Linked DNA regions of Arabidopsis thaliana. The protein of the gene in region 1 interacts with the protein of each later gene in a pairwise test. Each region holds a gene or a part of one and is shown on either strand. Other genes may lie near its edges.

Region 1 (4,698 bases):
TAATAATAATATGATCTTGGACGGGAAATGATATACAGTACTCAAGTGCTTAATCCATGATCCTTTGAATTTGAGCAAGTTTATCTACATCACAGGTCTGGTAGATAAAGATGTGAATGATATTCTTACGACTATATATTTTGGTTACCAAGCAATAATCATTGTTACAATAACACATATATATTGTGGAGAGAAACAAAACTATAATTTGTTATTACCAATTCATTCGGATGCCATACTTCTTCAGTCGGCTACGATGTAAGTTTGATTTTATCGAAAATGTTGAGATCAATGATCACGGGTCAAGACGGCTTGCAGGGAGCTCGAAGACAAGTTGAACGTTGCCTTCGGAGATAGTGAAGCCGATCAAAAACCGTTTTTCAATAGTTACAATATCATTGAACTGATCTCCACATTCTCACTTTTCTATGTTTCCTGGTTTGTAAGATTTTTGAACGATCATTTTAATTTGCTTCCATTGTATATTTAAAGACCAAAGTCTTGATGGATGATGAAGTAGACTTGAAAATTGATGAAACCCGTTATTGTGTTGTTGTGTTACAAATCCCATCTATGATCGTTGATCTCATAGATGATCATTGATCATTTTTCTCATTTTTCTATGATGAAGTAGACTTTTTCCGGAAGGCTTATGAGAAAAAAATACTATTCTTGTTTTGTAAACATATGTGTTCAATAAAGAATCTATTTTCATTTGCAATCATTCGGATTAATTAAAGTGATTGCTGGATGAATGTTTTGAATCTCTTTTTACCATTTCGCTACAAAAATAAAAAAATTGCGAATTTCGCATCCAGATATATACTAGTATTAAGCATGGGAGATTATTCACTCCTCGAACACATCCTATGACTATGAGTTACACAAATCAAAATTTTTACATTCCAACGTTGATGATCCTTTGGATTTGGTATTTTTCCATGTCATACTATTGTAACTTTGTTTGTAATTTCTTTCTGGTCAATATTACTCTATTGTGGATGCAAGATCGCATAACTAGTCCTCCATCGAATCAAACATGATCACAATTTTAAGAATCAAACTGGACTTTTATATACCGAAATAAAGTTACAAAGATTTCGCTGAGATGTTCTTACTTCTTAGAGCTAGATGAGTAAGTAATATTAGGGATTTTCTAGTGTACAATTGATGCCTCTATACATTACTCTCCATCAGATTTATAGGACTTGACCTCGTCTGCTTCTCTGATATTTCCCAGAAATCTCGCTCCTTTTAGTTTCTGCTTGAATCTATCAAATCCTAGTGATTTTGCGACCACCTACTTCTTTATTCTTTCCTTTTTGTTGGTTATGTCCAAACTGATTTAAGAGTATCCACATTGGTTATTTTTATGAGTGTTTTTAGATGGCTATTTTTAAATATAAAAGAGTAAAACAAATAAAAAATATGAGGGTCATTAAAATGAAAATTATATCTTCCTAAAACATTTAAGACATCTATACCTTTAATATTATTTTATATGAAATACATCTATGAAAAATTATTCGATGAGGATGGTCTAATGAGTCGGAGAGTCTCAGACCAACATCTATCTATAACTATTTTTTTTTTCACTGGAAATATAGATTTCATTGATAGAAGATCTGAGTACAAGAGCTGACAAGAGAAACACTCTTCTAAAAGCCGGAGAGTACATGGGACCTTCCAGGAACTAAAAACATATTTAAATGAAACAAAGGGGAAAAAAACCGATCTAACAAATTACATCACATCTGATCAAGTACTTCCCAGACCCAAAATCCAAGAGTTCAAACGAAATATACAAAGTCTAAAACAACAATGATAAACTGATAGATCTGAGACTAGAAGCCTCACTTAACTCAACCTAAACACGAATGGGCGATGAGATAAAACCATCATCCAGAGACCCAAAGGAGTGAGAGCCTCATGAAGGAGAGAACGAGATCGGGATCTTCAGGTGGAATTTCAGAAGTCTGAGGCGAAAATTTGGATAGAAACGCTTCTGCCTTGGATGGATCGGCCAGATCTGACTCTGTTCTTGAAAAAGACAAAAGACAAACAGCAAAAACCTAAAAAGAAAAAGTTTTAGACTTTAAATATCTAGATCTGAAAATTCAGATTCACAACCGTTGGAAAAAAATCTCTCAGATGTGTCTAAAGAAAAAAGATAGAATAAGAGCAAAACAAAAGACTTCGGTTCCGGTGCTGAGAAAGCCACCGGAACCGGTAACCCTAAACGCAGGCGGCGGCTGAAGTTTTAGAGATAAGGGAGAGTAAAATTTTAAGAGTGAGAAAATGACGAGATGTGAGCTTGTAAATACTTTTTGTAATATAAGTAACTATAAGTAATATTTTTTTTGTAATACCTCAAATTTTATTTTTAATGATATTTACAAGTTTAACAAAACAAAAACAAAAAACAAAATATTATTCTAGTCATAGCAAGTGAGAATTTTTGAAAAGGGAATAAATGTGTGTAATTAATTCAACGGTCCAACAGTGGCTTGGACCTAACACTAATGACATTTGTTCTTCTTGTAATTTTTATGTGGCTGTCTTCTTGTACCAAGTACGTAGACAATAGTTTGATTCTATTTGGAATCAAAACTCAAATTACATTTACAAGAAAAACGATCACAGATACAGTAATTCGTAGTATTCGCCAAAGTTCCTTTTGCAACTTTCAAAAAGTGCAAAAACAAGACCACTTTTTCGTAATAAGATAGTAGCAAAAAAGCACGACTATTCCATAAAACTGTCCACGTCCCTCCAGAAAACTCCCCCCACATGCGATTTGCCACGTGTCCCCACTCAACTACACACAAAGCCATTTTAAATCAAATTATTAATCAAACTTAAAAAACGTAATCGTGTGCTGATGATGATGATGACACTGTCACTGCCTCAAAAACCTCTATAAATTAGTCCTCTTCACCGAATCCTTGTAAATCATTACTGTACTTTTCTCTCTTAACGGTTTCTTTATTATTCTTCCCATTCTACCCCTCTTCTTCCTTCTAATTCCCCCTCAAATGCCACTGTCTTCTCACTAAACTCCAAAACCCACCGGAAAAAATGATTACGTGGCACGACTTGTACACCGTCCTCACCGCCGTGGTACCACTTTACGTAGCTATGATTCTCGCCTACGGATCCGTACAGTGGTGGAAGATATTCTCACCAGACCAGTGCTCCGGCATCAACCGCTTCGTCGCTATCTTCGCCGTCCCTCTCCTCTCCTTCCACTTCATCTCCACCAACGATCCTTACGCCATGAATTTCCGCTTCGTCGCCGCCGACACGCTTCAAAAAATCATCATGCTCGTCTTACTTGCTCTATGGGCTAACCTAACCAAGAACGGTAGCTTGGAGTGGATGATCACAATCTTCTCTCTCAGCACTCTCCCAAACACTCTTGTCATGGGGATCCCTCTGTTGATCGCCATGTACGGAACCTACGCAGGTTCTCTAATGGTCCAAGTCGTTGTTCTTCAGTGTATCATTTGGTACACTCTCCTTCTCTTCCTCTTCGAGTACCGTGGCGCTAAGCTTCTTATTATGGAGCAGTTCCCGGAGACTGGTGCGTCTATTGTTTCGTTTAAAGTTGAATCCGACGTCGTTTCTCTCGACGGTCATGATTTTCTTGAGACGGATGCTGAGATAGGAAACGACGGGAAGCTTCATGTTACCGTGAGGAAATCAAACGCATCGAGACGGTCACTGATGATGACTCCACGGCCTTCGAATCTTACCGGAGCTGAGATCTATAGTCTTAGTTCGACTCCGAGAGGTTCTAACTTTAACCATTCTGATTTTTACTCTGTTATGGGGTTTCCCGGCGGGAGGCTTTCGAATTTTGGTCCGGCGGATTTGTACTCCGTTCAATCTTCTCGTGGTCCGACTCCACGGCCTTCGAACTTCGAAGAGAACAACGCCGTTAAATATGGATTTTACAATAACACTAACAGTTCTGTTCCGGCGGCCGGTTCGTACCCGGCTCCGAACCCGGAGTTTTCAACCGGTACGGGTGTTTCAACTAAACCGAATAAAATTCCTAAAGAAAACCAACAGCAACTGCAAGAGAAAGATAGCAAAGCGAGCCATGACGCTAAGGAGCTTCACATGTTTGTTTGGAGCTCAAGCGCTTCTCCGGTCTCCGACGTGTTTGGCGGAGGTGCAGGCGACAACGTGGCAACGGAACAATCTGAACAAGGTGCTAAGGAGATTCGGATGGTTGTCTCTGATCAACCTCGAAAGAGTAATGCTAGAGGTTCTTTTTTTTTTTTTTTTTTGTCATCAAATATTATTTAGCTAAAATTGCGGAAAATTGTTTACATAAATAATATGCTAGAGGTTTGTTGGTTTAATTTTATTATTATTCGAATACTATTATTTTTGTATGTATTCATGATTTTTGGTTTTCTCAGGTGGTGGTGATGATATCGGCGGTCTTGATAGTGGAGAGGGAGAAAGAGAGATAGAGAAAGCTACAGCAGGGCTGAATAAAATGGGGTCTAATTCCACGGCGGAGCTAGAGGCGGCTGGTGGAGATGGCGGCGGCAACAACGGAACACATATGCCGCCGACAAGTGTGATGACACGACTGATATTGATAATGGTGTGGAGAAAGCTGATCAGAAACCCAAACACGTACTCCAGTCTAATCGGTCTCATATGGGCTCTTGTTGCTTACCG
Region 2 (4,698 bases), on another chromosome or scaffold:
ATTGTTGGTGCGCAAAGCTTGTTATTATTTCAAATTACTATCATACGCGCAAACTTATTCGGTTGATTTTAGAAGTGTTATTCCACGGTTAGTGTTAGTCTTAGTCGCAGCTAGAATGAAGTAAGAACAAGAGTTTTTCAATGGTAAATTAAGACTGCTTTTATTCTTAGTTTTCATTTATTTAAATAGGAAACAAGTACAAGAAAAGCTAGCTTGGAATCAACGATTTCTACAAACTAGGGAATTGGGAAAAGTGGGAGATAGGCTCCTAAACCTTAGGAAGACCAATCCTCCAATTATTAGCACAAAAACACTTAAAAAACAGAACACAATTGGTTCCAAGCTCTCTGGTTTTGCATTATGCAAAACTTAACTTGGAAAGTATTTTGTGTTAGAGAAATCTTCAAATTCAATCTCCATCTTCAATGTATCATTCACAAGAAGACCTTTAGAAGTATCCTTAAGATCAGCAAATGGTACAAACTTCTGGAATCCCCAACTGTTTGCTTGATCCGACCAGCTTTCAACTGTCATTAAGTTAGTGTTAATTAAACTCTAAAAGAAAAAAATTAATAGAGTAAGTAACATTAGCCACACTATTATGGTTCGATATAATTTACCTTTCTTCTCCATGTGTTTAGAATCTCTCTGGTTTATAATCCGTAGCTTAGCTTTTAGGTAAATCTTGTCATACGGCTTAACATCAACCGCAACAACATATAACGACAACGAGTTACCCTGTCCTTCGCCATCGCCACTTGGATACACTTTCAAAGCCCTAAGAGTTGTATATTAAAATATTGTAAATAGTTAATTTTTTCTTGAATCAGTATTAGTAAGCCTGCGCAAATAAACCTAATCGAATGTACCGAACTAAAATCGAAACAAAATAACAGAATCGAACGGAATCAAAAATTAAAAAATAATCAAATGGATACTAAATTCTATATATAACCGAAAGAACCGAAAGAACCGAAACTAAATGGCTACGTACCAAAATATCCCGGATAACCAAAATATCTGAAATATAAATATATTTCCAAAAATATTAGTTATTTTTAAACTAAATAATTAAAAATATTAGTTATTTTTAAACTAAATAATTAAAAATATATATAAAATAGTTAAAATATTCAAAAATAATCAAAAATATCCAAAAATAACCGAAATATCCAAAAATAATTAAAATATCCGAAAATATTCAAATCAAAATAACGGAATGGATACTAAATTTAAAACCGAAAGAACCAAACCGAAATTTCAAAATAACCAAATAGATAATAACTTTAGAACCGAAAAAACCGATAACGGAATGGATAACCGAACATCCAGGACTAAGTATCAATATGTGGCTTAAAGAATTTATGACATGAGGAACTCACCAGCTTCTCCCACCGATCACGAACTTGTCAGAGACATAGTACTGTTTCTCTAGTGACGAGAAATTGGGTAACGTCCATTTGTAAAGGCGGTCATGCAAACTCTTAGTGAATGAGAACACTTCCCATTTGTTAAAAACTTCAGTGACAAATACGTCCACACCGAATAAAACATTGTCACCGTCGAAAAGCCAACCAGCATTGGGATTAGCCACGTCGGTGTAGGGTCTAACATTACCATATCCCCAATATGGTTTGAACAGAAAAAAGCGTTTTGCATCCGTCTCTGTGTACCAAGACATGCGTTTGAGATTGTGTGTTTTTAAATGCAAATTTTGGCATTTGAAACTATGCAAACTATCAGCGTCTCAATTGTTTTAAATTTAAACGTTGAAAATTTGATTAATACAATATAGTTTATAAATAAGATATAAATAGGGCGTTCGGATGTATATACCTTGATATGTTAAGTACTTGTCCTCTTTCCGGTTATAAATGAAGAATTTGACTTCTGCGTAAACTTCTTTTGGAGAGTTAAGGAGTGTTGAATTGTCTATTTGGACGTACATTGAAACGTAATTAAGTGGAGCTCCTTCCTTAATGTTTCCTTTAGGATAGACAATAAGTGTCCTGTTTGCAAAAGGATATATAGTCTTACAATCAAATGTGTCGTTGAAAATTTGTGATGCAAAGACATATGCAAAATGTAGGATAAAATACTACTTACCAGTTGTATCCACCGGATTCAAAAGGACGGGATTCGTACTTCTCGGCGTTTGGAGAAGTGGCGAATTTTATGAAAGATTCGATTTTGAGACAATAGGTAGATGGTGGGATAACTCTCCATATTTCTCTCCTATCAGATAGCTTATGGGAGGACATTGGGCTATCGATAACGGCAATGGATGATGTTGTTGTTGTTGAAGGTTGTGTTGTTACGATTTTCATGAATTGGAATGCAAAGAAACAAGAAATGAAGCAAGCCAAGCCAATTGCTCCATAGTTTGTCTTTCTCTTCTCCTCTTGAAACATGTGGTCTTCTTTTTTTATCAACCCCTTTTCAGACATGTTTGGTTAAGTGACTGAATTGGTAAGTGTGACGGTTATAATTTATAAGCAAATGACTGGAATATGTAATGGAGTTAGTTAGATATATTTATCTACACACCAAAAAGGTGAGTTAGTTATATATGTATGATGAGTACCAACATTTATTTGGTATTTAGCTTTTTTTGTTTGGTATAAAGAGTTCTTCACCACAAATATTTATAGCGGAGGATCTTTTGTGCGTTCGATAAAAGTGATAATGTTATTATGAACAAGTTATATATTCACGTGTCTTGAGATTTCACGTCGGTATAAGATGGATTGCGACCAGATAAGATTTCTTGAGTTATCGACCAGAAAAGATTTGTTCAACACGTGTTTTCAAGAAAAAGACAAAAGTTTAAGTTGTACCTAAATTTAGCATGTAACGTCAAACACTCCAGACATAGCTTTAGCTAACAACAAGAAATGGACCCAAACGCTCTACACCACAACATAGTTTTGTTCTTCTGTTCCGATCCTAGCCTCTGTTTTTGGATTTAGCTTTAGCTTTAGCTATAATGTAGAACTTCAGTAATCAATACAAAGACTAAAAACTATATTTTATTATATACGTATCAAAACTATCGATTAAATGCTTAATAATTAATTTTTAAAAAATGTTTTTATTTGTAGAAAATATTTTTTATTAATTTATAGTATAATATATAATAATATTTGAGTTTTTATTTTATAAATATCTAGAATTTATAATAAATAAATTATTAGGAATGACCTTCCAATGCTACTCATTTTTAATTCTACCCTTTCATGTAATTCATTTTCATTACTCTCTTTTAATTTTTAATAACCATATATCCTTATTTTTTTAATGTTTAAAGTTAACAAAATAAAATTGTGTTTTTCCTACCAACAATATTTCGACGATAATTTTTTCGCCAAAAATAGTTTTTTTTGTTTGTACAGACGGTAATGTTTTTACATATGATGGAGGCCAGATTCACACACTTGTGTGCATGCAAGAAAATTTTTTTAATAACATGATGGAGTCGGTGGGATTGTCTTTGTTTGGGCAAAGGATACGGTATAAGCTTCCTTTTGAGAAGTTTATAGAGCTGAACCGTTGTATACTAGAGATGATATTTTCGAGAGAATGTGTCTAGCTGCAAAGTGGACAAAAGCGGTTGTTATATTTACGGAGAAGGAATAGATTCTTGAAGAATGTAATGATGAAAAGAGCTTGTGAAAACGTCAATGGTGAGAATGCTCGAGTTTGTGATGATGGAAATGATGTTAGAGGAGGTGATGATGAGAATGACATTTTTAATGTTGGAATCCAAGCTAAAAGTCGGCCACAAAACAACTTGGTGAAGGTCTGATACGTTCATGAGAAGTTGGCACGTGTGAGAACTGAAGTGAGAGATCGGAGTCACGTGTGAAGAAACTTATAAATAGTAAGAGTCTAAGAGAGAGTAGAGAGAAAAGCATCCTTCGTGATCATATTGATGTTGTGAGTAGAATTAGGGCTTATGCATGTGCTCTGTTCTTAGGAGATAAGATTGGAGAACTGTAACTTCAAGCTTATCGATTAGGGTTTTGATTCTTTGTAATTGGATTGATAGATAAGAAATACAAAGGATTACACTTTCATTCTTATCAAGGTCCGAATCAAGTATCACAAATTTCACTTAGTGATTAATTGTGTAAAAGCTTTTGGTTTGGGAAACTTATGATGTTCAGGATGATGGTTTTAATTTGGATTATCGGATTTATGTGTAACATGATGGGATGATGGTTTTGACTATGATCTCGGCTTCAAGATATAGATTATGGTTTTTGGCTATTTGTCTTGAATTTTTAATTTGTAGGATAATGGTTTTTGTCTTGTAATTGCCTCGGGTTTGGTATGTTATATACAACATTATTATGTTATTTATTCATTACTTTTGTGGAGAAAAGAGTGATAGAGATTGCTTGGTAAGAAAATAAACAGACACAGAAATTGGTAACCGAGTTCACGGCCTCAACCGCTACGTCTCGGGGTCTCGGGGGAGATCTCTTGCTCCCAAGCTTCACTAACTTGTGATGATGTCTTTTGGTTTTACAGATTTGCACTCAAGAAGAACAAAGATTCAAGAACAACAAAGAGGAAGAAGAAAGCTTGTTTAGGAAGCTCTTTTATCTCTCTTCTCTAGAACTCTTTTTAGATTCTTTTCTCACCTACCTCCACTATACGTCGTACGTTGTAATGCATATATAGGTGACTTAAATG

Evidence for each region.
Region 2: the proteins of PIN4 (region 1) and AT3G28220 interact in a protein complementation assay, tested with the Arabidopsis thaliana proteins (one large-scale study listed by BioGRID).

Annotation. Positions count from the first base shown.
Region 1 is NC_003071.7:181,580-186,277, reverse strand, and holds the start of PIN4 (Auxin efflux carrier family protein), read left to right. Parts: upstream 1-2,513; 5' UTR 2,514-3,078; coding exon 3,079-4,273; intron 4,274-4,430; coding exon 4,431-4,698. UniProt on the Arabidopsis thaliana protein: Acts as a component of the auxin efflux carrier. Plays a role in generating a sink for auxin into columella cells. Maintains the endogenous auxin gradient, which is essential for correct root patterning.
Region 2 is NC_003074.8:10,522,169-10,526,866, reverse strand, and holds AT3G28220 (TRAF-like family protein), read right to left. Parts: upstream 2,687-4,698; 5' UTR 2,448-2,686; coding exon 2,107-2,447; intron 2,010-2,106; coding exon 1,837-2,009; intron 1,666-1,836; coding exon 1,383-1,665; intron 779-1,382; coding exon 621-778; intron 528-620; coding exon 370-527; 3' UTR 134-369; downstream 1-133. Other genes in the region: AT3G28216 (uncharacterized protein), read left to right, coding at 3,443-3,589.